Linked DNA regions of Danio rerio. The protein of the gene in region 2 purifies or fractionates together with the protein of the main gene of each other region. This does not show direct contact. Links are inferred from orthologs where the notes say so. Each region holds a gene or a part of one and is shown on either strand. Other genes may lie near its edges. The genes, in order: ripk2, map3k7, card11, chuk, ikbkg, ppp6c and cyld.

What was found.
Region 1: the proteins of map3k7 (region 2) and ripk2 purify together in Homo sapiens (affinity purification with western blotting; 4 studies listed by BioGRID). This does not show direct contact. The link is inferred for Danio rerio from reciprocal best matches to the Homo sapiens genes MAP3K7 and RIPK2.
Region 3: the proteins of map3k7 (region 2) and card11 purify together in Homo sapiens (affinity purification with western blotting; 3 studies listed by BioGRID). This does not show direct contact. The link is inferred for Danio rerio from reciprocal best matches to the Homo sapiens genes MAP3K7 and CARD11.
Region 4: the proteins of map3k7 (region 2) and chuk purify together in Homo sapiens (affinity purification with western blotting; 9 studies listed by BioGRID and IntAct, with this or other methods). This does not show direct contact. The link is inferred for Danio rerio from reciprocal best matches to the Homo sapiens genes MAP3K7 and CHUK.
Region 5: the proteins of map3k7 (region 2) and ikbkg purify together in Homo sapiens (affinity purification with western blotting; 8 studies listed by BioGRID and IntAct, with this or other methods). This does not show direct contact. The link is inferred for Danio rerio from reciprocal best matches to the Homo sapiens genes MAP3K7 and IKBKG.
Region 6: the proteins of map3k7 (region 2) and ppp6c purify together in Homo sapiens (affinity purification with western blotting; 3 studies listed by BioGRID and IntAct, with this or other methods). This does not show direct contact. The link is inferred for Danio rerio from reciprocal best matches to the Homo sapiens genes MAP3K7 and PPP6C.
Region 7: the proteins of map3k7 (region 2) and cyld purify together in Homo sapiens (affinity purification with western blotting; 4 studies listed by BioGRID, with this or other methods). This does not show direct contact. The link is inferred for Danio rerio from reciprocal best matches to the Homo sapiens genes MAP3K7 and CYLD.

Annotation. Positions count from the first base shown.
Region 1 is NC_133177.1:7,877,395-7,882,030, reverse strand, and holds the start of ripk2 (receptor-interacting serine/threonine-protein kinase 2), read right to left. Parts: upstream 3,054-4,636; 5' UTR 1,766-3,053; intron 1-1,765.
Region 2 is NC_133195.1:26,768,581-26,772,670, reverse strand, and holds the end of map3k7 (mitogen-activated protein kinase kinase kinase 7), read left to right. Parts: intron 1-79; coding exon 80-195; intron 196-3,188; coding exon 3,189-3,369; 3' UTR 3,370-3,647; downstream 3,648-4,090. UniProt on the Homo sapiens protein: Serine/threonine kinase which acts as an essential component of the MAP kinase signal transduction pathway. Plays an important role in the cascades of cellular responses evoked by changes in the environment.
Region 3 is NC_133178.1:40,597,808-40,601,897, forward strand, and holds part of card11 (caspase recruitment domain-containing protein 11), read left to right. Parts: intron 1-1,094; coding exon 1,095-1,232; intron 1,233-4,090. UniProt on the Homo sapiens protein: Adapter protein that plays a key role in adaptive immune response by transducing the activation of NF-kappa-B downstream of T-cell receptor (TCR) and B-cell receptor (BCR) engagement.
Region 4 is NC_133188.1:28,581,488-28,585,577, reverse strand, and holds part of chuk (inhibitor of nuclear factor kappa-B kinase subunit alpha), read right to left. Parts: intron 2,691-4,090; exon of another isoform or gene 2,569-2,690; intron 2,321-2,568; coding exon 2,216-2,320; intron 2,086-2,215; coding exon 1,991-2,085; intron 1,398-1,990; coding exon 1,280-1,397; intron 1,178-1,279; coding exon 1,108-1,177; intron 1,015-1,107; coding exon 926-1,014; intron 847-925; coding exon 757-846; intron 1-756.
Region 5 is NC_133198.1:21,496,598-21,501,156, forward strand, and holds the start of ikbkg (NF-kappa-B essential modulator), read right to left. Parts: upstream 3,112-4,559; 5' UTR 2,869-3,111; intron 424-2,868; 5' UTR 420-423; coding exon 236-419; intron 1-235. UniProt on the Homo sapiens protein: Regulatory subunit of the IKK core complex which phosphorylates inhibitors of NF-kappa-B thus leading to the dissociation of the inhibitor/NF-kappa-B complex and ultimately the degradation of the inhibitor.
Region 6 is NC_133180.1:32,608,003-32,611,388, forward strand, and holds the end of ppp6c (serine/threonine-protein phosphatase 6 catalytic subunit), read left to right. Parts: intron 1-935; coding exon 936-1,145; intron 1,146-1,835; coding exon 1,836-2,084; 3' UTR 2,085-2,742; downstream 2,743-3,386.
Region 7 is NC_133182.1:37,738,979-37,743,068, reverse strand, and holds part of cyld (ubiquitin carboxyl-terminal hydrolase CYLD), read left to right. Parts: intron 1-2,053; coding exon 2,054-2,442; intron 2,443-4,090. UniProt on the Homo sapiens protein: Deubiquitinase that specifically cleaves 'Lys-63'- and linear 'Met-1'-linked polyubiquitin chains and is involved in NF-kappa-B activation and TNF-alpha-induced necroptosis.

The DNA.
Region 1 (4,636 bases), on a different chromosome or scaffold from region 2:
GTGGAAGTTTACATTCTGTTTTAATCCAGTTAAATGTTTTTAACAGAAGTGGGGCTAGTATTTCTTTAAAAGTTTTATACCACTCGGCTGGAAAGCCGTCGCTACCTGGTGTTTTAGATGTTTTTAGTCTCCCAATCGCATTATTTATCTCTTCTAGTGTGAAATCTGCTGTAATGAAATCATTTTGTATTTTGCCTATACTTGGTAAATCTAGTTCATTAAGAAAATTTCTTGTCGCTTCCATTTTAGAGTTAGAAGCATCCGTATACAGTTGTTTATAATAATTTAGAAAAATGTCCTCTATTTTCTGTGGATGATAAACCAAATTATTTGTTTGTGGGTCTCGTATTCTATGAATAGTGCTATCAACTTCTTGTTTACGTAAGCGTCGGGCAAGCAATTTTGCTGCTTTAGGGCCGGATTCGTAGTATGTCTGCTTATAGAATCGAGCTTTCTTCTCAACATCTTGTTCCAACAGGCTGTTAATCTGTTTCCTTATTTGCTGCATACGTGATAGTAGGTTTGGATCCCTGTTTATTTTGTGTTGTTGCTCCACATTTAATAAGTCTGATGTTAGGGTATTGTACTCCTTAATTCTCTTTTTTTTATTTTGCGCTGATAGTGCAATCAAATTCCCACGCATCACAGCCTTCAATGAGTCCCATACTATGGATGGGTCTACCTCTCCATTATCATTTATCCTAATATATTCTTTTATATTTAATTTTATCTGTTCTGTATTTGCTTTGTTATTTAACAAACCCACATTCAACCTCCAACCTGTCTTTCTCTTCCTTCCTTCTATTTGAACTGTCAGGTACAAAGCGCTGTGGTCAGAGACCTCAGCTACTCCAATGCTACAATCTTTCACCCTATAACAGTCATTTTTTGGCATAAAAAAATAATCAATCCTAGAGTATGTACGGTGGGGAGCTGAGTAATGAGTGTAGTTTTTGAGAGATGGATTAATATGTCGCCAGACATCGCAGTATCCTATGTCATCCCAGGCTGTGTTAATTAATTTTGATATTTTGCTCCCATTTCTTTTGCTATTAGTTGTGTCTAAATGGTGGTTTAGTACCACATTGAAATCTCCACCACATATACAAATACCCTCTGCTTCCAGTACAATTACATCCATTAATGATTTGAAGAACAGTTTACTAGTATCGGGTGGAGCATACACATTTACTAAAGTTATTAACTCCTCTTCAATTTTACCCTTAACAATAAGATATCTCCCATCCTTTTCTTTTATTTCCTTATATAATTCGAATTTAAATTTATTAGCAACAAGAATAGCAATTCCCCTTCTATGTGAATGCTCATATGAATTGTAATAAGTATTTTTAAAGCCAAATCTCTTTAATTTCTCATGCTCTTGTTGAGAGAGATGAGTTTCTTGCATAAAAATAATATCTGCTTTCTCTTTTTTAAATTTTGTCAATACCTTTGACCTTTTAATTGGGTTACCCAAACCGTTCACGTTTAAAGACATTAGCTTAACCTCAGTAGACTGTACCATCATCAAAAAGAGTCATTCTTACACCACTATGTTTCCACAGGCAAACCTTAAATAAAATAAACTGTAACACAGAAACAAGCCAAGAACTGCTTAGAACAAGCATTATAACAGAAAAGAATAAAGACTTCCAAAGTCTGAAGAACGTTCTCACGTTTTCAGTTGAGGAGGGGGAAATCCTCTCTCCCGGAAAGGGCCCCCTCACCAATGAGTCCGCTACAGAGTGTATCATAGATCACTTACGTGTGTCCAATGGCACAGCTGACCTCGTCATCCCGCCAGCCGGCGCACATACATTAAACATCATTATGTAAAGGGTTGCTATAATGCGGGTTTTTAAACATTGCTGCGACCATGTTCAAATTCCCGTAGGCGTTCTTTAGCTCTTCTGGCAGTGTCCACACTCGTGGTTGATCCCACTCGCTGCCACGATGTAGCCCGCTGGAGACGATCCAACAGGTGGCTCTTACCCGGCGGTCTCACGGGCATCTCCACGCTGTATCCCCGCCGACGCAGCTCCTGCGCTGCCTCCCCAGCACTGCCGTACACCTGCACTCCTTCTTCCCAGTGAATGCGTATCCGATTGAAGGGCGTCTGAAAACGGATGCCCTTTTCTTTAAGAGCCTTTTTAATATTGGCGTACGCTTTGCGCTGATGGAGAACGGTGGCTGTATAGTCATGGTCGAAAAACAGCGGTTTATCTTCCATCATGATTTTCTTTCGCCAGGCTTTTTGAATAACCATCTCCTTGATGCTGTACTGCTGGAAATTTACTATAATGGACCTCGGACGCGAGTTTGGGCCCGGTCTAGGCGCCAGGGCTCTGTGCGCGCGTTGTATTTGCAAGTCCACATCGCCGAGCTCAAATTCGGAGCGGAGCATTTTTTCAACAAATTCTATCACCGAGCCTTGTTCAGCGTTCTCTGGTACACCATGGATCCTGATATTGTTTCGTCGAGCCCTCGATTCAATATCGTTCAACCTGTCTTCTAGTTTCTGTTGATCCTTTATTGCCTGTTGAAGGGCGGAGTTGGCCTCCGCACTCCATGTTTCGGTGTCATCGATCCGCGTCTCCATCTCGTTAATTTTCCTACCGTGTTCTTGCATGGTTAGCATGTTCGTTGAAAGTTGCTGGTTAACTTCTTGTTTGAACTCAATGAACTCTTCTCTCATATCATGCTTAATTTCGTCTTTGAATGTTTTTAAGACTTCCTTAAGTTCCGACTTCAGATCGCTGATCTGTTTGCTTAAGGTTTCAAGCCCCGTGGACACATTCTCAGATGTTGATTCGCCTCCATTTTGTCGGTCCTCTTCTTCCCGCATGTCGTCCTCCTCGTCTAGGCCTGCACGGTGTGGGTGGTTACTCGTTGTACTTTGCGCCCCTTTACCTCTGCCTTTCTTTCCCCCCGTCATATCAATGAAGGAAAATCACTTTTTAAAAATCTAAAATAATTACACGGGGGTAAATATAACGCCGACTTGCGAGAGCTAAGCGCTCAACCTGCCATTTCCCTCTGCAGCCAAACCGGAAGTCGGCTTCTTGTACATTCTGAGATCCACTTTATATCGGTTATCACTCAGACAGTTGAGGTTGCTGATTTTTAAAGTAAACAGACCTTAAATGCGCCGATATTGTAACAGTATACAGTTCAACGTTAGTGCTTGACTCAGGTTACTGACTAATTAAAAGTCATTCTGCATATACCTTATTAGTGCTGCTGGGCAAAAATTTAAATCGTATCCAAAATAAAAGTTAGTTTTTGACTTGTGTCTACTGTTTATATTTATTATGTATATATGAATACACACATGCATTCATATATTTGAGAATATGTTTATTTATATTTAGATATAAAATATATGTATATGTAACAATTTATTTTTATTCATTCATTTTCCTTTGGCTTAGTCTCTATTTGAGAGGTCTTCACAGTGGAATGAACTGCCAACTTTTCTATGCTTTACGCAGCAGATGCCCTTCCAGCCTCAACCCAGTACTGGGAACCACCCATAAACACTCATTTACACACGCAGTCATACACTACGGCCAATTAATAAATCAAATTCACCTATAGTGCATGTCTTTGTACTGTGGAAGAAACCGGAGCACCACGTCAACACGCGGAATACACGCAAACTCCACACAGTAATGCCAACTGGTCTAGCAGAACTCAAACCAGTGACCTTGCTGTGAGGCGAAAGTGCGAACCACTAGGCCACCATGCCGCCCCTAACAATTTGTTTAAAAATTGAATTATCCATGTAACAAAATTTTGTATCATTTTGTTTTTATGTGTGTCTATCACATATAGATGATTAATATATTTAACACACAATTATAATGATAAAACTTTATTTTAGATACGATTAATCTTTGATCAGCACTCAATTTAATTTAACTAAAAAAATATAATAAATAAACTACAGTGTGTATGTGAAGATTCAGCTCAAAATACCCCACAAATAATGTTTTGTAACCATTCAAAACTGCCCCTTTTAAGTTTTGATTGAAATTGTGCCGCTTTGGTGACTGTCGCTTTAAATTCAAGTGAGATTGTGCTCTTTTCAAAAGAAGGCGGAGCTACATATGCCTACCTGCTTGTTAAGTGATTACGTGTTGGTGACGTATGTAATACTCTTTCCGGGTCCAAGCAGCCATTCATTTGAGTGGATTATGCCCATCACGCATTAAAGTTAATTTTATATAAAATCATAGTGTACACAACAATTTCTGGGCTTGCTACATAACAAATACCAAAATTTTAACAATTTATAAAAAAACGAATCACTTTCTGGCCATCGGATATTAGGCACGGACATATATATAGCGATCGTGATTTTCGAAAGTATTAAATCGCTTTGAAAACGTTTATTATTACCATTTCATGAGTCTCCCTATTCAGTTGAATAGAGCGCTTGGACCCGGAAGCCGCTTCGCGTGATGTCACACTTAATAAGCAGACAAGACTTACATCCTATGCTAATGAGGAAGAGATGGTCACTAATAGGTGTGGCTTACCCCCTCTGATAACAAAGTGAGAATGTCGATATATATATATATATATATATATATATATATATATATATATATATATATATATATATATATATATA
Region 2 (4,090 bases):
TATAAATATCACTTTTGCATTTCTGATTAATTAGCCAAAATCTGTGACATTTGATGAATGAATCTGTGTTTGTTTGCAGCCTCTTGCCCCTTGTCCAAACTCCAAAGAGTCGATGGCAGTGTTTGAGCAGCACTGTAAAATGGCACAGGAATACCTGAAGGTGCAGACAGAGATCGCACTTCTCAAACAGAGAAAGTAAGTCAGAGGAATATGAATCCATTCAAATAATCAGCATGTATAATACGAATTGGGGTTTTCATCAGTAACTTTTACACACTTTGCATATCCATTCATATAAATTTGAAATTAAATATGTAAAACACATTGTAAATTGGACTTTTTTTGTATAAAATTTTAAGATTTACCTTTTTATAATTGAGTGAAATGTGTTTGAAGTATTAAAATATTAAACTGGAAAAGCAGATTAATTAAAACTTAAACAAAAATAGCTATTCCTAAATGGTCAAATCAAAGTAAGAATAGGAAGGCAAAACTCATGTCAGAATTACTAACAAGAAGTAACAAAACTAACAATTGTACAATATAAAAATTATAGATAATACAAAATATTCACATAAAATGCAATAGTATATAATAATACGTAAATAACACTGGGATTACCACATAACCAAACTTTTTATCATTGATCATTCTTGATAATTGTAATATAATGACAAGATGTGATAAATGTTATTTAAATACCTACATATGAAATGTACTTAATTTTCATACATAGATCCTTTTTTTCTTTATACAATTACAGTGGGTATAGAAAACAATCACCCCCCTTCAAAATAGTTGCATTTTGTTGCATTGTAGCCTGAAATGAAGACAGACACATTTTTTGTTTAATCTAACTGTATTTACTTAGTGCAGCTTATAACACCCAACCAAAAGATATAACACCAAAATGTCAGAAAAAAAATTTACATATAAAAAAACAAAATTAATTGGTTGGAAAAAGGATCACCCTCTTGTTTCAGCGTTTGGTTGAATAACCTTTTGCTTTAAATACAGCCTTTAATCTGTTGCGATACGTTTCTACTAACTTTGCACATTTAGACTTTGCAATATTAGCCCACCCCTCTTTGCAGAACTGTTCAAGTTCAGTTAAATTTGATGGTGTCCATTTGTGGACTGCAGTACTCAAATTATTCCACAGATTTTCAATGGGCTTTAAATCAGGACTCTGACTTGGCCATGCCAGGACATTCACCTTTTTCTCCTTCAACCACGGTGTGGTCAGTTTTGCTGTGTGCTTCGTGTCATTGTCATGTTGGAAGGTAAACCTTCTTCCCATTGATAACCTTCTGGCAGAGGGCAGCAGATTTTCCTTAAGAATTTGTCAGTATTTTACCTCATCCATTTTTCCTTCTATCCTGACAAGTTCTCCAGTTCCTGCTGCAGTGAAACAACCCCATAACAAGATATTTCCACCACCATGTTTTATGGTAGGAATGGTGTTGTTTGGATGGTGAGCTGCATTGAATTTCTGCCATACATATCATATGGTGTTAAGGCCAAATAATTCAATTTTAGTCACTGACCATGACACTTTTTTCATGTGGCTTCTAGGTGGGTTTTGGCAAAGCTCTGTTCTGACTTTATGTTGCTTTTCTTGAGATGAGGCTTTTTTCGTGCAACCCTCCCACACAAGCCACATTTGGGGAGAATCGTTGATATTGTTGTCACATGCACACAATGACCACTCTTTGACATAAAATATTGCAACTACTTCAGAGTTGTTGTAGGCCTCTTGGTTGCCTCTTTGACCAGTTTCCTCCTGGCTTTTTCATCCAGTTTGGAGTGACGTTCTGATTCAGGGAGGGTCTGTGTTGTACCAAATACATTACACTTTTTAAAAATGGACTTCACTGTGCTTCTAGGCATTGATAAAGCATTTGATTTTTTTTGTATCCATCTCCTAACTTGTGCCTGGCCACAACTTTATCCCAGAGATCTTTTGACAATGCCTTGCCACCCATAGTTGATGGTTTGCTTTAGTTGCACTACCTGGGGTTGAAATGTTACACTAAAGCTATTTTCATGCTGAGCTGATCAAATTGACCACCAATGAAAGTTAAATTGTGTTGTGTGTCGTTAAGAAGGTGATTAGCTACATCTGATTGAGTTTACAAGTATTTTTTAGGAGGGGGGTGATCCTTTTCACAACTGAGTGAATTCTGTTTCTATGCTTCCTGTTGTTGGTGTTATATCTTTTACATGGATGTTATACATTGTACTGAATAATTACACCTAGATAAAACAAAACTGTGTCTATCTTCATTCCAGGCTACAATGCAACAAAATGTAAATATTTTGAAGGGGGGTGATTCTTTTCTATACCCACTGTATTTACATTTTGCTTTTAGATTAAATATGGAAGAACTATACTGTAAATTAAAACATCTTTATTGTAAAATTTTACCATGAAAACAAGTTTTATTAGAATTTGATGAATATATATATATATTTTTAATAAATTGGGTACGATTCTGTCATTCAAACTGTTAATAAAAGAACTGCATTTGCCAGTGTTCATTATGAAATACATTAAAAATAAAAGGCTATTTTAAAATAAAGAATTTTTAGTTTTGGTTTTCAGTTTGTCCTGATTCTTTTATTTATTTATTTAACCAAGACTTTTAATTTCAATGTATCACAACTAAAAACCAGAGTATTTGTATTTTTAGCCATAGGCATGGCCGGACAAAATCTGTGGACGTTTTTGCTATTTCTGTGGAGAATTTTGTAAAAAATCTACAGATTTATGTGGAATTTTAGGAGAATCGTAACTAAAAACTTAATATATGAAATAAAAAAAATAATACATTTATAACTATTATTTAATGTTTAAATCCACTTATTTGGTAAACAAAGCAAGTCTGTCATATAATATATCTACTAAATTACAGAAAATATTACTTTACAAAGTGTATTGTAAACAAATCATATGAATATATTAATGTTACTAATATTATATCACAATAATATAAGTGAATTTAATTTAAAAACTGAATAAATATAAATTTGCACACAAATAAATACATAGACTTAAAAATTGGCTAAAAATCTGCAGAAATCTGTGTGCGGAGATTCTGTGTGGGCCTAGCTAAAGTATATGCATTGTTTGTTTGTTTTTTCCCCATTCTCCCTCATCCCCTAATGTCTTTTGTCCATCTCTACAGGGAAGAGCTGATAGCAGAACTAGACCAAGATGAAAAGGATCAACAGAACGCATGTCGCCTCGCTCAGGAGCAAAAGAAGCTCATAGAGGAGAACAAGAGTCTGTCCACCTACTACCAGCAATGCAAGAAACAACTGGAGCTGATCCGAGCGCAGCAGCAGAAGAGACAGGGCACCTCATGAACCCTCTAATCATTAAAAAGAGCCAGACTGACTCTATCCTAACCACAGCCCCGGTATCTCCACCTCCCCAATCCAAACATTGGGGCTTAGCTATAGTTTGACCCAGAAACTCCATTATAGCGCCTCTTAAAACAACCCTTATGCACCCATGAAATCTCTGAAGATGGAAACTGTAGGACTTGTGCTCCACAGAGCAGGAGAACATGGGTCATTTCCACCAATGCAAACAGTAGCAAGACCCTGCGCTCAACTGCACAAGCATGCTGCGTTTGGCAGAACAAAAAGTAAATAAAAAATACAGTCGGACATCTGATAAACATGCAGATCTTCAGATATCCAGACAAACCAGCAAACACAAATGCAAGGACTCCTGCATTTTACATCAGAACTGCAGATGGAGGATGTTAAAGGAACAAATTAGATTTTTTCGAATGTCATATTTCCCCCCTTCCACATCCCAAAATTCCCTGAGGGGTTTGCCTTATTCCCCTCGAAAAGGTGTTGGCCCTCAAGAATGTGAAAGTGAAGTGGCTTTAAGATTCATACAAAAGCTAATTTTATCATTTTTAGATTTATATTTTATTTAGTTACATTCACTTTTGTGTGTGTTTTTCATTTTAGCCCATTTTATGCAAAAAAAAAATGTTCCTTATTTTTTCATATGTCTCTTTGCCCTAAAAAGTGTTATAATGTATTATTGATTGAAATTGGGGGATGTATA
Region 3 (4,090 bases), on a different chromosome or scaffold from region 2:
TGTCTTGAGTGAAATAGAGAAAAGTAGTGAGTCTTATAGCTTGAATTGTTAAAAAAATGTATAACAATTAATTATTTAAAAAAAAAATAGTGTTTCTTTGGTGATAAAGTGATAAGGACATTTCACCATTAAAGTAACAAACAAATATATAAGAATATATATGAAATATATAGGAATATATTAGGATTTAAATCATTTAAAAATTATAATATAATTTATAATAATTTGAAGGTAAGAATTATCCCAAACCTGATTAAAATAAGCAAATAAAATTTTTAATGAAGTATTTATTCATTCATTCATTTTCTTTTCGGCTTAGTCCCTTTCTTAATCTGGGTTCGCCACAGTGGATTGAACTGCCAACTTGTCCAGCGCATTTGACACAGCGGATGCCATTCCAACTGCTAAACTCTCATACACTCTCATTTACACACATAAACTAAAGCCAATTTAGCTTAACCAATTTACCTATAGCGCATGTCTGTGGGGTAAACCGGAGCACCCGGAGGAAACCCACGCCAACACAGCAAGAACATGCAAACTCCACACAGAAATGACAACTGACCCAACCGAGGCTCGAACCAGCGACCTTCTTGCTGTGAGACGACAGCACTACCCACTGCGCCACCGTGCCACCCACTTTGAAGACTTTTTTATTAAATGAAGTAAATATATGTGAAAATAAATAATTACATACATAAATAAATACATACATACATTATAATGATTAGAAAATGCAGTATTGTTGCAGTAGTATAGAAATCTATTATTTTCCAAGAATGGGGGATTATAATCATATTTGGGAACAATCATATTGGGGAACATTGCAAACAAAACACCCTAATTTTATTGATTTGATGTTTTTTGGAAAAGCTAAATTTAGTGATATACAATTTTGCTAATTTTACTTTTGACTTGATTGGCATTTATTTTTTTAACTGACATGACATGAAAAAAACCTACAGTACATATTTAATTAAATTAAAAGCGACTTCAATTTTGTCGAACATGTACTATATAAAGTACCTTAATAAAGTCGACATTAAGACATTACTCTGTATACTTTTTTAGTTTTGCTTGTGGTTTTGTTTCAGGCCGGCTGCTGGATATCCTGCACACGAAGGGAGAGCGAGGCTATGTGGTTTTTCTGGAGAGTCTTGAGTTGTATTACCCTGACCTCTACAAACTGGTCACGGGGAAGGAGCCGACACGCAGATGCTCCACTATAGTCGGTGAGACACTTTTAAATTAAAATACTGCACATATAAAAGATCTATGACCATGTTTTAAAATTGTTTGTTGCCTTGCACCTGCTTCTCCTGTGGGATGAGTATCTGCAATAAATCCCATTTCCAAATCCCATTTTAAGCAGTTGCTTCTAATAATAATTAATACATATAATAAATAAATAAATAAATAAATAATAATATGTAAGCACCTTGGTGGTACACTAATAGTATCAGAAGGTGCTATATAATTACCATACTCGTACAATATAACATATAATTGACATATCAAGTATACTACAGTGCAGCCGGAAAGTATTCATATCGCTTCACTTTTTTCACAATCTTTAATGTTACAGTCTTATTCCTAAATGTATTTAATTCATTTATTTCCTCAAAATTCTACAGACAATAGCCCATAATGAAAGTGTGAAAAAAGATTTTTTGAAATTGTTGCAAATTTATTAAACATAAAAAACCTGAAAAAACACATGCGTATAAGTATTCACAGCCTATGCTCAATACGTTGTTGATGCACCAGTGGCTGCAATTACAGCCTCAAGTCTTTTTGAATATGATGCCACAAGCTTGGCACACCTGTCTTTAGGTGTTTTGCTGTACCTCTCAAGCTCTATTAGGTTGGATGGGAAGCGACGGTGTACAGCCATTTTCAGATCTCTCCAAAAATAAGATTTAGGTCTGGGTTCTGGCTGGGCCACTCAAGGACATTCACCAAGTTGTTGTGAAGCCACTCCATTGATATTTTAGTGGTGTGCTTTGAGTCATTGTCCTGCTGGACGATGAACCGTCGCCCCAGTCTGAGGTCAAAAGCACTCTGAAGCAGGTTTTCATTCAGCATGTCTCTGTACATTGGTGCATTCTTCTTTCCCTCCATTCTGACTAGTCTTCCAGTTCCTGCTGCTGAAAAACATCACCACAGCATGATGCTACCACCACCATGCTTCACTGTAGGGATGGTATTAGTCTAGTGATAAGCGGTGCCTGGTTTTCTCCGAACGTAATGCCTGGCATTCACTCCAAAGAGTTAAATTTTAGTCTCGTCAGACTAGAAAATTTTGTTTCTTATGGTCTGAGAGTCCTTCAGATACCTTCTGGAAAATTAGAGGCGGTAAGTGGCTTCCGTCTGGTTAATCTACCACACAGGCCTGATTGGTGGATTGCTGCACAGATAGTTGTTCTTCTGTAAGGCTCTCCTCTCCACTGGAGCTCAGACAGAGTGACCATTGGGTTATTGATCATCTCCCTAACTAAAGCCCTTCTCCCCCGATCACTGAGCTTAGAGGGCCGGCCAGCTCTAGGAAGAGTCCTGGTGGTTCCAAACATCTTCCATTTACGGATGATGAAGGCCACTGTGCTCATTGGAACTTTCAGAGCAGCAGAAATTTTTGTGCCTTGAGACAATCCTGTCTCGGAGATCTACAGACAATTCTTTTGTCTTCATGCTTGGTTTGTGCTTTGACATGCAATATCAACCCTTGGACCTTATATAGACAGGTGTAAGCCTTTTCAAGTCATGTCTAATCAACTGAGTTTACCACAGGTGAACTCCAATTAAGCTGCTGAAACATCTCAAGAATGAGCAGTGAAAACAAAATGTACCTTAGCTCAATTTAGAGCTTCACAGCAAAGGCTGTCAATAATTATGTACATGTGATTTTTCAGGTTTTTTATTTTTAATAGATTTGCAACAATTAAAAAAATAAAAAATAAATATAAATATATATATATATAAATATATACATATTGTCATTATGGGGTATTGTGTGTAGAATTTTGAGAAAATAAATGAATTTAATTTATTTTGGAATAAGGCTGTAATATAAAATTGAAGCACTATGAATACCTTCCGGATACACTGTATATGGTGTTATTGGTGCTTTTTTCAGTTCCCACTTCTTATAGCTATTAATATAAATAAGAACTAGTTCTCAATTACACTGACTGGTCAAACAGAGGTTATAATCATATACTACTATGTACTAACATCGGTAAATGAATGATTTGTGTTCATATTGTGTTGCAAGATTAGGGTTAGGGATAGGCTTGGTGGTATGGTTAGGTTTATGGGTGGGTAAAGTGTAAAGCAGGGGTCTCAAACTCGCGGCCCGCGGGCCACTTGCGGCCCTCAGTGCAATACTTTTTTCCCTAGGACTTCAATAAGTCAAAGTACAGGTCTAGACTTAATGATGATCATCTTCAAGCCATACTGAGGGTCTCAACTGCTTCCGCTCTAAAGCCAAATGTGGTTCAGATTTGTGAGAGGAAGCGCTGTCAAGTCTCTGGCAGCAAAGAGTAGGCAAAAGATGCCATGTTCAGAAGAACTGTTCATAATCTTCACTCAATGTTCTATTAATGTTCAGGACACTTCATGTTCAGAAGAAATAATTAAAACTGTTAATAATGACATTTGAGGACTTTTTTTTTGTGAAATCCCTTATGCGGCCCAGCCTCACCCAGACTTTGCCTCCTGCGGCCCCCAGGTAAATTGAGTTTGAGACCCCTGGTGTAAAGGATAGGTTAATGGGGTAGTCATATGTAATTAAATAAAATATTTACAGCGGTAACTGCGTGCAGATCTTTAAAATATCGGTTCAAAATAAAACCTGTATGTACACAATAAGTGCATTGCACCAAATGATCCATGTAAGCACATGGTAGTTAAAGTCACTTGATATAAGGTGGTACACCTATTTCTCATTTACACTGAGCGGTAAGGTTCAGCATAGTACAGTACAGTATGGTTCACCTCGATCAGGCTTTCATTTCCACTGTCACTAGTATTCTTAGTTGGTAGGCATGGTGTGCACCAGAGAGTTGCAATCAACGTCATCCACATATCGTAC
Region 4 (4,090 bases), on a different chromosome or scaffold from region 2:
TGTTTACTGACGCAAAGTTGACATGTTGACAACTGTTTAAAAACCTTCCTGCGCACTGCGTTTCAAGTGCAAAGATGCATTCTGTGTGAATGTCTACCCAATCCGTGCATGTGGTGAACATTTTGCAGTAAAAACTGGTTGCACACAACAATTTTATGCTCTTACACAAATGCTCCCAAATATATTTTGAGGTCGCATAGATAAAATTGTGGGCGCATATGCGACCAAAATGGTCACAATTTCAATCCCTGGAAATGCTATGGAAAAAAAGCTTTTTACTGTTTTTTTGGTTTTATTATTTTATATTATTGTTTTTATTTCTACATAACCAGACATATCTTATATAAATCTAAACCTAATGTAAAAACCATTAGAACACCTATAGGAATAAAACTTGGAATATTGGTGTAATTTGTACTGTAAGGAAATTTGGTGTAAGTGATACTGGAGTAAAAACAGGGATCACTACAAGTGAAAAACTCATTTTGAGGTAACAGCCTTAAAAAATATGTTATTAAAATAACAATGGTATTTTTTTCTATAATTATAAATTAGTATAAAATAAACACTTAAAATTGCATTGTGGATGTTTTTTTTCCCATGAGTACAAAGAACAATCTCCAAAATCTCAAAACTGACAGGTATTAGACACAAAAAATTCCCTGCATCTTAATAAAAAATCTCCAGCATATGAAAGTGTATGTGAGATTATTGCCATAACTGTCATATTTCTAAATAATGCAGGTTAAAACATACCAGATATTGTAAAGTCCCCACAAATGAAGTGCATAAGCTCCCCTGGTCCAGGTCTTTGGCATAACCAAGGTCGATTATCTTGTGAACAAGCTGCATAGACAACAAAACATAACCCATGTTTGAAAAGCATGTCTATAGAATAAAATTCTAACCACTAAAAAGTAAATACCTTTCCATTAATTTCTTGCAGCACAATATTCTCTGGCTTGAGATCCCTGTGTATGATCTTATTCTCATGAAGGTACTGGATTCCAGAACCTATTCAAAAGAAAACACTCAGTTTGACACACAACCCTCAGCTATTGATGGTAAAAATACTAAAAACAGAAGCAACAGGCTTTGACACATTACCAACATCATTGAGTAGAGACAACACCTCACTCTCTTTCAACCCACAGCAATTTTCAGGTTTGCTCAACAACTACAAAAAAAGAATTAAAAAACAGAAATGAGTCAGAATGAACTTAATATAAGAGCACATCTGACAGATACAAAAGAAAAGCCTATGGTCACACGCACACACCTTACGAAGATCTCCTTTGGAACAATACTCCATGGCTAAAAGTGGTAAATCATTCAAGGCAATGTGCATCATCTCCTCAGGCACATCCTTTGCTGTGACAACATTAAGGTGCTTTAGCCTTAGAAGTAGGATAAAAAAAGATTAGATTAAGTAATGTAACAATTAAAGGTGTACAAACACACAATATTAAGACACTTATGTACTGTAAATAAGGATCATGCTGCGGCCTCAAACCACTGATTGAATGTATTTTGATATGCTTAAACTTTGCTTTATCCTTCTATACTTACTATGTGTTTAATCAGGTAAAAATGTAGGGATGTAGTGCAATCACTTAAATTTTATAAATATTTAAATAAGCACAGGATAGAACAAATATATTCTTTAGTTAAATAAACATCTATTATGCTAAATAATTATTTCAATTCCTGAAAGTGTATGTATGTAAAAAATTGCCATTACAAAAACAAAAAATGTTCAACCAGGTTTCAGTACGAATTGTTAATATTTGTTTTTTCTTTTAAGGTCTGAAAGGATTTTTACCAAGATTTCAACAAAAAAGCAAGTTCTTTTCATTAAATAGCATTTGGTCAAGATTATTGTTAAGACAAAATTTTATATCTTGACCAAATATACATATATTTTACGTGTATATATACACGTAAAATTCTCAAAACAAATAAATCATTTGATTATAATAGATGTACACACTTTTTCATAATCTGGATCTCTCGACTCCATCTGTCTTTGTTTTTTGAATTAAGCTCAAGGCGACAGAGCTTCACAGCTATTTTTTCTGATGTTTCCTGCAAGCAAAAAAAAAAACTGTATTACCAAGAGTGAAAACTCCAACATTAGTCTTTACAAGTAAAATAAATAAGCAACAACAAAACATCTATAGTATAAATAGTAAAAATAAAAATAAAAACGTTGTACCTGATTCTGATACAAATAGACATGGCCAAATCCTCCTGTTCCAAGCCTCTCCTTCATAACCCATGAGCCACAGACCTGATTCTGTCTGAAAGGGGGTTTCTCCATCTGTACACATCAAACATTTCATCATAAGTTTATAATACAAAATCACTGGATTCCACTTTGTGAAAGCTGCTGCCGTTTGATCTATGTACATTGGGCCCTATTGAGGAAACTATTACGGGCTTCTTCGGTGTAAACAATACAAAAGAGGATTCATAAATACGAAATATTCATTTGCGTCATAATATTTACTTAGACATTAGGGCACTGCTAGCAAGCGAGCTAATCCAAAGTGTCAGCCGGTGACTTACCTTGCGTCCGTTTGTGTTTCTAACTTGCTTTAACCAGCCACATATAATGTGGAGAATTCAGTGAGCTGTAAAATGAGCGAATTAATCCATAGGAAACGGCAGAGCTGTCCATTTCATCCTTAAACGAGCTATCGGGTCGGATTTTAGATTTGCTAACTGGCTAACTAGCTACACGTAAACATCTCGACATGAGCAGTTAGCTTGCAGTCTCACATGCCCCCAAATGTCAGCTTTCCATAACACTGGGCACGAAAAAATACCAGATCGCAAGTGAATTTCTAAAAAACTAAATATTTCTGGCCTGAATTATGATTAAATACAGTATCACTGACTGGCTCACTTATATGTTAACTGTTGTTGACGGCGGCCACGCCAGTCAGCTGCTACTCCAGTCAAAAGCGAAACAATTTTCACGCACGCGCAGAGCGTGAAAAGACGCCCGAGTTTCTTGTGGCTGATCTAGGATCGGTCGGTCTTAACAGATGCTGTATGCATGGGCAAAGTAAAGTTCTTGGAGCTGAACTCAGGACGTAGGAACTTGTCACGAAAACAAGGTCGGTGACCTGAATTTCTTCAGATCTTCAAATGATAATTTCATGTGAACTGGAAAATTTGTTCCGCAATTATTCTCCTCACACCTGCTTAATTTGGAATAATGGAAATATACCTCTTCAAACACAAACACACACACACACACACACACACACACACACACACACACACACACACACACACACACACACACACACACACAATGGTAATGTTATGGTTGTTACATGACTGTATTTATTATTATGTATGTATGTTTAAAACCAGCAGAATATACTATATATTTGACATGTCATGAACTTACTGTTCTTCAAAAAAATGCTCAATAAAAATTTCCTTAAGACAAGAATGGGTATTGTTTTGGTCTTTTTTTTTTTGTCAAACTACTGTAGGTTTTAAGTTACTACAGCAGATATAGGCTACCTATATCATTATATTGGTAGTCAGAGTTATTTTAATGACCCAAATCGAGTAAAATGTCTCCTACTCAAGTACTTTTTGCATGCAAAAGTCAAATTTACAGTTTTCAACAACAAAATTTTGTCTCGTAAAAATGACCAGTGGGGTGTGAGAAAAAAGTTAATGTCGAGATATATATTCTATATAAAAGAAGTTGAACAAGTTGTCATAATATTTAGTCATAATGCATTTTTCTGTACATTTCCATTAGACGTTTTTTTTCTAAATCTATAATTGGTAAATTGCTCCCAGGTCAATCTAAAAATGAAATAAATTAGCCGTATAGCTTACATGAGGACGTCCATCCAGAGTACGCTGTTACATTGACAACATGAGTAAGTAATTTGACTGTCTTATCCGTACACAATGACACAAGGACTTGTCATTCTGACGGCACTGACATGTTCATTGAGAGATGAACCAAGCACTTTAAGCAAGAGACTGGCCTTTGCAGGTAATCCATGCTGTTTGGCTATTTGTATGTGCTGTTTTGAGAAATGCACTTACTGCTTAG
Region 5 (4,559 bases), on a different chromosome or scaffold from region 2:
GTAAAACCATCATATTATAAGGATTTCTGAAGGAACATCTGACACCGAAGACTGGAGTAAATTCAAAAATGATTTTATTAAAAATAAATAACATTTTGCAACACATAAATGTTTATATAGCATTTATGATTGATGAAATGCAGCCTTTGTAAGGAGAAAAGACTTCTATTAAACATCAACAAAAACACCCTGTTCAGTTTTTTGACTGGTATTACAGGAAATCATTTAGACCTACCACGTAGCTGATGATTGTCCGTTATGAGTTTCTGAACGATTTCATTTCCAGCTAAATCAGCAGGGACCCTCAATGAGCCCTGTGAACTGGCCATGAGTGAGACTTGACCTTCTGAACCTGCGGTCTCTTCTCCGTTCAACTCATATTGCAGAGTGCAGCCACCGGACGGCTGCGGCTGGACCATGATCCTGACAGACACAACAAAAGACCGCATTGATCATCTACAGCTCTTAATCACCAAGACTACTGCAGTGCTTTAAGATTCTTGGATGAAAATATTCAGATAAATTTAGAATAATTTCTGCGGTGGATAAATAATAATGGTGATAACACTTTACAATCAGGGTCCCATTTGTTCATGCTTTAACTAGCAATGAGTAATACGTTTATTATTACTATTTAGGAATCATTGTAAAAATAGTTTTAAAAAGTTTTCTGAAAAGAAATTAATGGTGTACGCATTTCAATTGTGTATTTCAAATCATTGAAAACATGTAGTACACTTTATATCAATTATGACCTGTATTTGTGACTTTTGCAATTGAATTCATAAATATTTGTTATCTCTGTTTGGTCTAAAAATTTTACATTGCTTGCACGTAAACACAAAACTAAAACAAACAAGTAAATTGAAAAAGAAAAACTTGCTGCCTTAACTGTTTAAATGAAAATTAAATGAACTTTTGTAGTCATCTTAACTAAATTAAACTTAAATTAAAATCAATTAAACTGACTAAAATGTATAAAAATAAACTTTGTATAAGTTACAATATAATTGAAAGCTGACTAACTAATTAAAATAAAAGCAACATAAAAATATATGTTGCCTTGACTTTGTTATTACATTTTTTACAGTGTAAGCAGGCTAAACTTAACAGCTTAAATACAATCAATAAAACTAAAATGGAAACAAAACTCCATATATTAAAATGACATATGCACCACAAAATTATTTTATAATAACTTTACATTTAAAGTTCTATTAACTTATTTAAATTGTTAATAAAATAACAATTGTAAAACATACTAAAGTTGAATAATTATACAACTTGTAATGTTATTAAAATAGTTAATAGAATTAGTTAGAATATTAAGACAGTTAGCTCGAATCCATTGAATAATATTAAAGTGACATTTCACCCAAACCATTTCTTCACCCTCAAGTGTTTCTAAACTTTTATTAAAAACATTGACATTCCTAGTAGAAAAAGTGAAAGTATGTCAATGGCTGCTTTTCCCAGCATTCTTCAGTATATCAAACTCAAACAGATGTGAAACAAGTAGAGGGCGAGTAAGTAAATGTTTACAAAATGTTCATTTTTAAGTGAACTACCTTGATTTCACTAATTTATGTGTAAATGTTTTATAAATAAAGCCTAAAATTTCATTTAAAAAAATTCAGTTCTGCACAGGAAGTTTGGGCAGAAAAGAAATGGTTGTGCCCAACTAAGCCTGGTTTCTCTAAAGGATTTTTTATTTTTTTCATTCACTTAATTTATTTAGTAAAGTTTTGTTCCTCGTCATTGCTGCCACTGGCTTGCTTGGTTTGGGACTTGTGGAGCTGCGCATCAAAGGATTAGCTCTTCAGTGTTTGGACTTTCAGCCATGAAATTTAAACCACACCGAACTAAACTGAACCAACTCAGAAGACTGGACTGACAGTTTCCATTTACTAGAACTGCTATGTTAAACTACTTTGACACAATCTACATAGTAAACGCGCTATAGAAATTAATTGAATTGTATTCAGAGTAAGCTCATGTTATCTAATCCTAACAAATGGAACCATATTGTAAAATGTTACCAGTAACCACATTTTGACAATATGTAAATGATAATACCTGTACCTGTTCATGTTACTAGCTTTAACATGTAAAGCTATATCATTTTATACATGTCTCACGTTCAATTCTGCTTTTACTGTTTCACTTTTCAACAAGACACAGATAACTTATGAGTCATTCAATGACACTTTCGCCATATTAACGACCTCTAAAACATTTGAAAAGAAATATCAAATATCAAAGTTGAAAACAAAGTCGATGTCATGATATCTCGCTGTCAAAACAAAGATTATTTCACAAGTTAAAGACAAACGCGCGAGGTTTAAAAGACTGAGGTAAATTTGCACATTCATTCACTGATAACTTGTAACACTGTCCCCATATTGTTTACCACGCTACTTTGAATATTAAGTCTGAAATAGCATGTTAGTATGATTTAAAAACAACATTAACAGTTAGCACTATGTCATTGACTGTGTACAATGTTGTACTATGATCATCTTTGTCTACTTATTATGATTTTCCCTATTTAGAATTCGCAAAGAATACTTTTCTGAAATTATATTATTAAAGAGAAAGAACGAATATAAAAACAATTTTACCTCAATCCTCAAAGACACTTTAAGTCCAATACTGTGATTGAAATTAGCAGTTATCCGATATACGAGACTCGGTTTTGTTTTGTTTACAGGCTCGTGATGGACGCGCTCAGCTAACAACACAACTAGCTTTACCGCATTTAAACCAATAAACATTTAAAATCACACACTAACACGACTCACATTCATTACATACACATGAAGACATTGATAAACATATCGTATGATAAAATATGAGAGTAATCACTACCTTCTTTACGCCGTTAACAGTGTTTTGACTCTGCGCTAGCACAGATTCACTGTCTGTCGGTCTTCCGCCGAGGAAACACAGGCAGGTTTAAAGTCAGCCACGGACGCTCAGGTAGGCCAACATCTTCAACACCACCGAGCTGGAAAGTCTGAATCGAGAATTCGAGATTGATAAAGTATATCAAATGAAAACGTCTAGAAGAGTTCAGACAGGTGCCCACACTGTCGAGGAAATCCCCCGTGTACTTCCGCGCTGCGTGCTGTTTCCGGGTAGGGGAATTATGGGAAGACAAAAATGACAGCAAATAAGTTAGTCAAAATGAAGTTATTGAGCGATGCCTTCTTAAAATTAGGATTTAACTGTTTTCATGTCTTCAGGATATCCATATACGCTTACTTTTCTGAAAACCCATATGTTAATATATTTCACTTTTGGAAACCTTTATGTAGTTTTTTTTTTTTTTTTGCAAAAAAACAGTTGACAACTTTGTAGCAATATTTGTTTACAATACAGAATATGAATTACATTGTCAATGAAAAAGAGATACGAGAGAGTAAGAGAGAAGAAAAAAGAATAAAGAACATGATATAAACTTGAGGGTAAGACATTTAAGAAGCAATAACAGAACATAAATTAAAGTCATTACGAATTGAAATAGTTCTGTTTGTTTTTTTATTTTTAGAAAATTAAAATAAATGTATATAATGACTAAATTTTGCAAAAAAAAAAAGGAAAATATGGTTTAGTATTAGTAAATTAGCATTTGTGGATATGGAATTTACAAAGAAAATAAATTAAATTTATAACAAAACAAGCATTTCTCTTAGTAGAGGCAGATTCATAACAAAAAATAATTTCTTTAAAAGTAACAGAAACATTGTATTGTATATTATCATTAATAAATGAGCCAATATGTTCCCAAAATTGTAAAGCATAATTACACTCCCAAAATAAATGAAAAACTGTTTCTGTATAAAATTGACAAAATGAACATTTTACATCAATATTAGCATGAAACTTTTTCAAAAATAGTTTTATGGGATAAAATTTGTTGATCAATTTAAAAAAATTGTTGATTCAATTTATTTATCTTCATTGACCTTGTTGGTGAGAAAATATTTTTGATTAAGCTTTATGTAGGGTTGGGGATGTTTTCATCCACTTGTAAGGTCCAGCCAGTTGGTTCAATGACGGTATCCAATGGTGGATGAAGGTTCACTGCATGTTCGGTCTTTCCAGTGCACAATGTTGATTTATATTAAACTTAACTCATATCTGACTCCAATTTTAATATGAGGTGGTTTAGAATATTAATATATTTATCCTCGTTTTATCTGACTCCAATTATAAAACATTAAGAAGATTATGTCAATATGTAATTTAGATAAATGTTTGAACCGTTTGTCTTCACTAGTAACTATTACATCCGTTCATTCGGGTGCTCATGTCGCTCAGAGAAATCGCCTTGGCCGAAGGCGTCCCTCACGGTCACACTCCGGTCAGTCTTGAATATTAAACAGAGGTAAATTGACTAATACTTTAGATGGCTGCTACCAGCGCGCTCGTTCTAAAATACTTTAGTTAGTCCCGCTTAGATGTACACCTTTGAGTTAAGACAATCATCATTTCTAATTAGAGGTTAGGGCATTAATATAAATGTACCCGACTACTGGACTCTATAGTAACTTTGG
Region 6 (3,386 bases), on a different chromosome or scaffold from region 2:
CGCGTATCGCGCCGCAGGATGTCTATTTGCGTGTTTGCAATGACTTAACATGTAAATCACTCGCGCTTGATGCGTGTGCCACGTCTGGTGTGAACGCAGCATGAGACCACTATAGGTTCACATCTGTAGTTCACTGAGGGTTTATGTGCGAAAGCACTAAGCGCCACGTCTGAACACATTTTTACAAATATGAGGCCTATGAGCCAAAATATTTTTAAAATCGTTGTGGAGGTCATAGTCGAATCTAAATTTTGATTAATTGCACAACCATGGTTACCTATTATTATTATTATTTTGGTGGACTTGTAGCGAACTTGACTTCAAGTGACTTTACTTTGAAAAGTAACTCTTTATGTCCATGTCTCCCCTGAGTCTTGCACTGTAAGGCTCACTGGAAATTTTTCTTGCGGCTTTGGAGCTGCGAACATCCAAACGTACAGTAGCAGCCACTTACTTGACAGCAGGGAAAGGCACAGCCAATCACACTGTGTCTGTATGCTTTTGGGGGAGGTATAGAGCTCAAGTAGAGAACATGATATTACCTAATAGAGAACAACAGACAGTTGGTTCGTTGTAGTTGATTCTATTTTTTTTTTATGAATTAGGTAGCTTCTGTAGCATGTACATACAATGGATTTATTGATTATGAATGTTATTTCAAATGGCTTTTGATACTATGAATCTGAATATTTTTTTATTTTTAAATGGAAAGAACTGTCATTAGTAGTTTATAGAATTAAAAACAAATCAATTGATCTTTTTCAATTGTGTACATAAATTACACAGATTCGGGATATTATTTATTGTTGCAATACATCATTGCAGAACTAGCATAAAATGGTTGCAATATATTCAGTGCTTCAAACTAAAAATCATATCGATTGGCTAGTTTAACTTGTCAATTATCTAATAATTGTTGTTTGTTTCTCCCACAGTTGATAGATGAGCAGATCCTTTGTGTACATGGTGGCCTTTCACCTGACATCAAAACTCTGGACCAGATACGCACCATTGAACGCAATCAGGAGATCCCTCACAAGGGAGCATTTTGTGACCTTGTTTGGTCCGACCCAGAGGACGTGGACACCTGGGCTATCAGTCCAAGAGGAGCTGGCTGGCTGTTTGGTGCTAAGGTCACTAATGAGGTAAAAATCGCTCTCAAAGTGCACAGTCTGCTTTGTTTTTGGCTTTTATAACACTTCCCTATGGAAGATACTATTGCTCTGTAATTACAGATTGAGGTCTGCTAATTATTTGTTGATTCTAGGCATGGGCCTGTATAAGTTTTGCACGGTACGATAAACTTGGATAAAAATACCACTGTTTCACGTTGTTGCGATTACTGCTTTAAAATAAGTTAACTTTAATTTTTTTTTTGCCGTATTAAACACAAAATATTTAATTTTAGTAGACATTTATAATATTTTGGAACACTAAACATGTCAGGCTAAATAATTAAAATGCACCATTGACCTCTGCACTCTTCATATGTTTCAAAAACACAGATTAATTTACAAAACACAAAAAAAAAAACATTTAAAAAAAGCTTGCATATACCTTAGAAATGGTACGACAGTAAATATTAGCGGTTTTAAAATCAAACCATGGTAAACCCTGAAACTGCTTATCATCCCATGCCTTGTCAATTTTCTTTGAACTATGCAGAAACTGAGTTTTTGTGTGGCTCATACTCACTGCCTAAGTAATAAAGATGGAGACTTAGTAGTTGGCATCTGCATGTACATTCTAGTGCACAGTGTCTGAGATTGTAGTAAAAGTAAAAACCTCACTTCATGCATAACCTAAATCTTTTTATTTGTTTTTTTCTGTTAAAGTTTGTTCACATCAACAACTTGAAGCTGATTTGCCGTGCACATCAATTGGTTCATGAGGGCTACAAATTTATGTTTGATGAGAAGCTGGTGACCGTCTGGTCGGCCCCAAACTACTGCTACCGCTGCGGTAACATTGCCTCCATCATGGTCTTCAAAGACGTCAACACACGGGAGCCCAAGTTATTCCGGGCCGTTCCTGACTCAGAAAGAGTCATACCACCGAGAACGACAACACCCTATTTCCTCTGAGGTCTTCATTGTTGCCTATGTCTCGCCCTCTCCTTTTCATGGTTGTCATGAGCTCTTTTATTGTCTTTATTTTCTCTGTGTTGCTTTTTTTTTTTTTTTTAACAAATATTTTTGTAAAGATGGAAGTGCTCTCAATAATAACAACAGAAAACTATGGTTACAGTTCTGAACCCTGTTGAAAATGTTTTAAGTTGGTCGTTATTCGGTCAGTATAATCTTGTTAATGTGAGCGTAATGAAGTGAACATCCCCATGCTGTACTTGCAGGCCTTTTAAATGTAGACCTAAGAGCCGTTGACCATTTAATGACAAGCATTTATAGTGTAACACCTCGCCTGATCAGAACAATGTGGTGTTTGTGTTTTTCAGAGCACAGACCAGAAAGAGAGTCACTAAAACAGCTATGTTCTGGTCAGTTTGCTCCCAATTTCTCCAAGACAAAGACACTTTTGTTTTTCGTAGCTTTCAAGTGTTGAAAAGGGTTGAAGCAATGATTAGACAACAGGACAAAGAAGGCTGTGATTATTTTGTACATTAATATAAATTGTATTGATTTAATCAACTTTTTTTTCTCAGATTTGTTGTATTTTATTATTGTAGAAAACGGCAGCCCATTTACCAATTAAATATTGAGAATAAACGCCTTTATTATTAAGTTACATTTCTGGTGTTGTGTCCTAATCAATCGAAATATTTAATTACACACACAAGTTTAAATGCACTAAAATAACACACCATAGGGAGGCGCGCCTTCCTCCCTTGTCCATCCAACAGGCAGAACCGTGGAAGGCAGTTCTACGCTAGTCCCGCCTCAAAGTGTAAGTTGTATTCAGATTGACACCGCAGCCAACCAATGAAATACCTTGAACGTCACTAACAGACCGGAGGGAATCTGACAAGCACGCTAGTTTGAGCGGGTTGCCACAAAACAGTCAATGAAAATTCAACTGGCCAGACTGAACCGTCGACCGCAGCAGATGCCGAATGGCAGATACTCCCTGCTTTTCCCTGGGAGGGTGATTTGAATGAGTTGGATGTAAATGACGGTGCGCCACCGCACTGGATGTCTAGATTTGTGTCGGGGAGAGATTTACAAGCGCGCGCTACCCGGAGACGCCGTTCTTGAGGAGCTGAAACAGAAGAAGCTGCTCTGAACTACATCAGTCTCAGGTTGGCTCTCAGATCACTGACTTTTTTAGGGGTACTGCACTCAGAGTAATACGCTAGGGGAAAAGGCAAACACTGCCCAAGTTAACAACTGAGATAAGTCAGTCAGACAAACTACCACTTAAAAGATTTTATG
Region 7 (4,090 bases), on a different chromosome or scaffold from region 2:
GCATACAGGCACGTGCACACATAGGGCTCAACCTGTGCAGTGCACATGCCCTTTTAAGTCTTGGATAGAAAGTGCCCTTCCAAAATGATCAAAAGTGCCCCCGCGACGCGGCACACCCTCGGTCCCGCCCTTCAGTAGGCGCGCGACAACACCGCTCTTCAGAACGCGCGCAACAACAACCCCCCCCCCCCCCACCCCCCCCACCCCGCTCTTCAGAACGCGCGCAACAACAACAACCCCCCCCCCCCCCCCCCAGCTCTTCAAAACGCGCGCAACAACTACCCCCCCCCCGCTCTTCAAAAAATTTCTCCTGCACATGCCCTTTGGATGGTCTCTGCACGGCCCTGGGCGCATAGTTTGCTTATAAAAAGCTTGCAGGACATCGCGGCGCCAGAGCAATCACTTGCATTTTTTCAGTGGGAGCAATTTAAAGTTATCCGTCATTTTAGCTCACAAAGTACGAGTAATACATCAAAAAACGTTACAGCGTTTTTATAAAATAAAGAAAACCAAAATTATGCGCTTTCTGTCGTCAGGTTTTTGAACAGGAGCGCTTAACAAAATGAAGCAAAATGTATATGCCTCACAGACATAATAAATATATTTATAGAAAGCTTTAAATTATTACTTAACGAAATAAAACAAATCGAAAACGAAAAAACTCCTTCATGTAATCCGTAAAGATGAACTTCTCTCTAAAGGCGAGTCCAAGAGGAGATTGCCAGTCAGGATCTTTGCGACTCAGAATAAGTTTATTAATAAATAATTATGATATGATCCTTACTCTTTCCTCGACACATTCATGGTTATTTGTTTTTGCCGGTGCTTGGGGCGAGTTTTAGCTTATTGTGTGCGCTTGAACGCGGTTTCACAGTAGCAGTTTTAACATGGAGTGACACGACATCTGACGTACAGATGACACTGGCACATGCCACTGAGTGTAGTGACACTTCCGGTGGCAAAACCATATTTAATCATTACGCGACTTTTAACCTAATTTATCGCGTCGCAAGTTAGTTTATTTGCTGAGCTACTCTTTTAATTTAAACGCATTTATTTTATGTTTTCGTAGTCATACTTCCGTACGTAATATAGTCATTTGACAGTACATGTCAGTCAAATTTATTGTGGCATGCTTATGTATGGGAGGGGTTACACTTATCTGTTGTACTGTATATTATTGCATCCTGGCAGTTCCTTTGTTCCCTACAATATGGACTTCTCTATGTTTTTAATTCATTCATTTATTTTATTATTTAACTTATTTTCATTTTAAGGTATTTTAAATAATATCCTTTAAAAAGTTTTAATAAAATGCATGTTGAAAACTCATAACATATATGCATGTAAGATAACAGGTGTCATTTGTCTAATGATTTTTAAATATTAAAGCAAAGAGACTTATAAGATTAAGGTGCTTATAACGTGCTTATACTGACACCTACTGGCACATGTCACAAGATCACTGACACTGGCATGTGTCTAAAAAGAGCCACTTGACAATAATGATGATCAGGGTTACACATAGGCTGTTAATATATTTGGGCCCAGGGGCCCACAAGTTATGTGTTAAAAGTGCGTTGCATACATAGTACCCCCACCCCTACTCACCTCAGGGGCAAGGAAAAAAAGTTCAGGCTCAGGAATTTTTTCCACTATCAGCCCTGTATATATATATATATATATATATATATATATATATATATATATATATATATATATATATATATATATATATATATATATATATATATATATATTATGGTCAATGTCTACCTGTTTCCAACCGTCTTCAAAATATCTTATTTTTTATCTTACAGAAAAGTGGAGGGTATGTATGTAAATGAGCCCAGAAATGTTTTTTGAGTGAACTATTCCTTTAAGAACAAACACAATTCACGCTTTTCATTATCAATTCATAGCATTAGCTGTGATTATCACAGATGAATTCAGATTGAATGATCAGTTCCTGGTCCTCCACACTGATGCATCATCTGCTCATCATGACATTTTCAGTGCAGCCTCTCATTTCTATGACCTTATTTCTTAACAGTCGGCGAAGACCCAGCCAAATCCCTGACCGACATGCCGCCAGACTTCAACCCAAGCTCATCTCCATCTCGAGCTCCGCCTACCACCACCTCGCTGTCCAATGACAACAAGTTCCACTCGCTGCCGTTCAGCTTGAGCCGAAAAGTTGGCCCCAATGGCAGCATGAGCCATGGGCCCCTTTCCCTATCCGCCGGCTCAGTGATGGGGGAGCAGCCGGAGCTCCTGCCTGCTGCTACACCTCTGCAGAGGGCTTCATCACCACCACAAGGCCAGCCAGGTTTAGAGGTCGGGTCAATGGTGGAGGTCAAAGAGAACCCACCGCTGTGTGGGGTCATCCGGTGGGTTGGTCTCCCTCCAGGACTACAAGAGTCACTAGCTGGACTAGAGCTGGTTAGTACATTCGTGTGTGTTTGATAAACTGTAACTATATTATTAAGGAAGGTTAATACGTTACTAATCAAGAATTTGGGATCAGAAGGGCATTTTGCTTAATAATTAATAACTAATACTATTTGTCAAGAAATTGTGTGTTACATTTGTTTATTTTCTGTTTCAAATGACCCTTTTTGTTTTCTACTGTCTATTCATCAAAGAATCCTGAATGCTTCTCGATTTCCACAAAAAAGATGGAAGAACAATTAAAACTTTCGGTTTTCATGTAAAATGCCAAACATAATTTTGAACAATTATTTTTAGCATTCTTAAATGAACCAATGCAGCCTATTAGAATGGTTTCTGAATGACCATGCCATAATGATGCTGAAAATTTAGTTTTGCCATCACAGGAATAAATTATATTTTAAATGATTTTACATTATTCATTCATTGATTCATTTACCTTCAACTTAGTCCCTTTATTCATCAGGGGTCGCCACAGTGGAACAAACTGCCAATTTTACATCAGAAAAATGAAATTTGTGTCTTCTATACTAAATATACTAAGGGGACCTATTTGGCAAAATATATTCCATAAATAATTCCTATAATCTAGAACGTCTAGTAGTGCAATTAAAAAGAAAATGGGAGGCAGAACTGGAGATAGAATTATCAGAAGACATGTGACAATCCATTTAGATAATATTTACTCCTCTTCAATTCGTTTAAAACATACAGTTAAACAATTTAAAGTAGTACACAGATTACATTGGTCCAAAGTGAAACTAGCCAAATTTAAACTGAATATAGAGCCTAATCGTGACAGATGTAAAATTGAGCCAGCTACACTCATATGCATCTCATATGTTTTGGGCTTGTTCAAAATTAAAGGATTTCTGCCAGCTACTGTAATACTTACATTTTTCTCTGATGCTTTAAATACCTATATAGAACCTGAGGCCATAACTTCAATATTTGGTATCACATCACAGTCCTTATGTTTTAATAAAAGTTGGATAAATATGATTGGCTTAGCTATGCTTTTAGCTAGAAGGTTAATATTGCTCAAATGGAAGAAAAATATCCTTCAACCTTTGAGAAATGGCTTATGGAACTTGACAGTAGAAAAAATATGATACACTGTAAGAGGTTGTACTGATAGGTTTTTTCTCACTTGGCAACCTGTTTTAGATCATATAAAAATGATGGACCCTTCAGTTATATACATACATACAATTGAAATTAGAATTATTAGCCCCTCTTCGTTTTTTTTTTTATATTTCCCAAAATATGTTTGACAGAGCAAGGAAATTTTCACAGTATGTCTGATTATATTTTTTCTTCCTTAGAAAGTCTTATTTGTTTTACTTCGGCTAAAATAAAAGCAGTTTTAAATTTTTTAAACACCATTCTAAGGTCAAAATTATTAGCCCCTTAATCTATATATAGTTCTTTCCGATCTACAGAACAAACCATCATTATACTGTAGCTTTCCTATATATCTCAACCTGCCTAATTAACCTAGTTAAGCCTTTAAATGTCACTTTAAACTGTATAGAAGTGTCTTGAAAAATATCTAGTCAAATATTATTTACTGTCATCATGGCAAAGATAAAATAAACCTACTAAAGTACAGTATGTGCAACGGGTTTTTTTTTGTTTG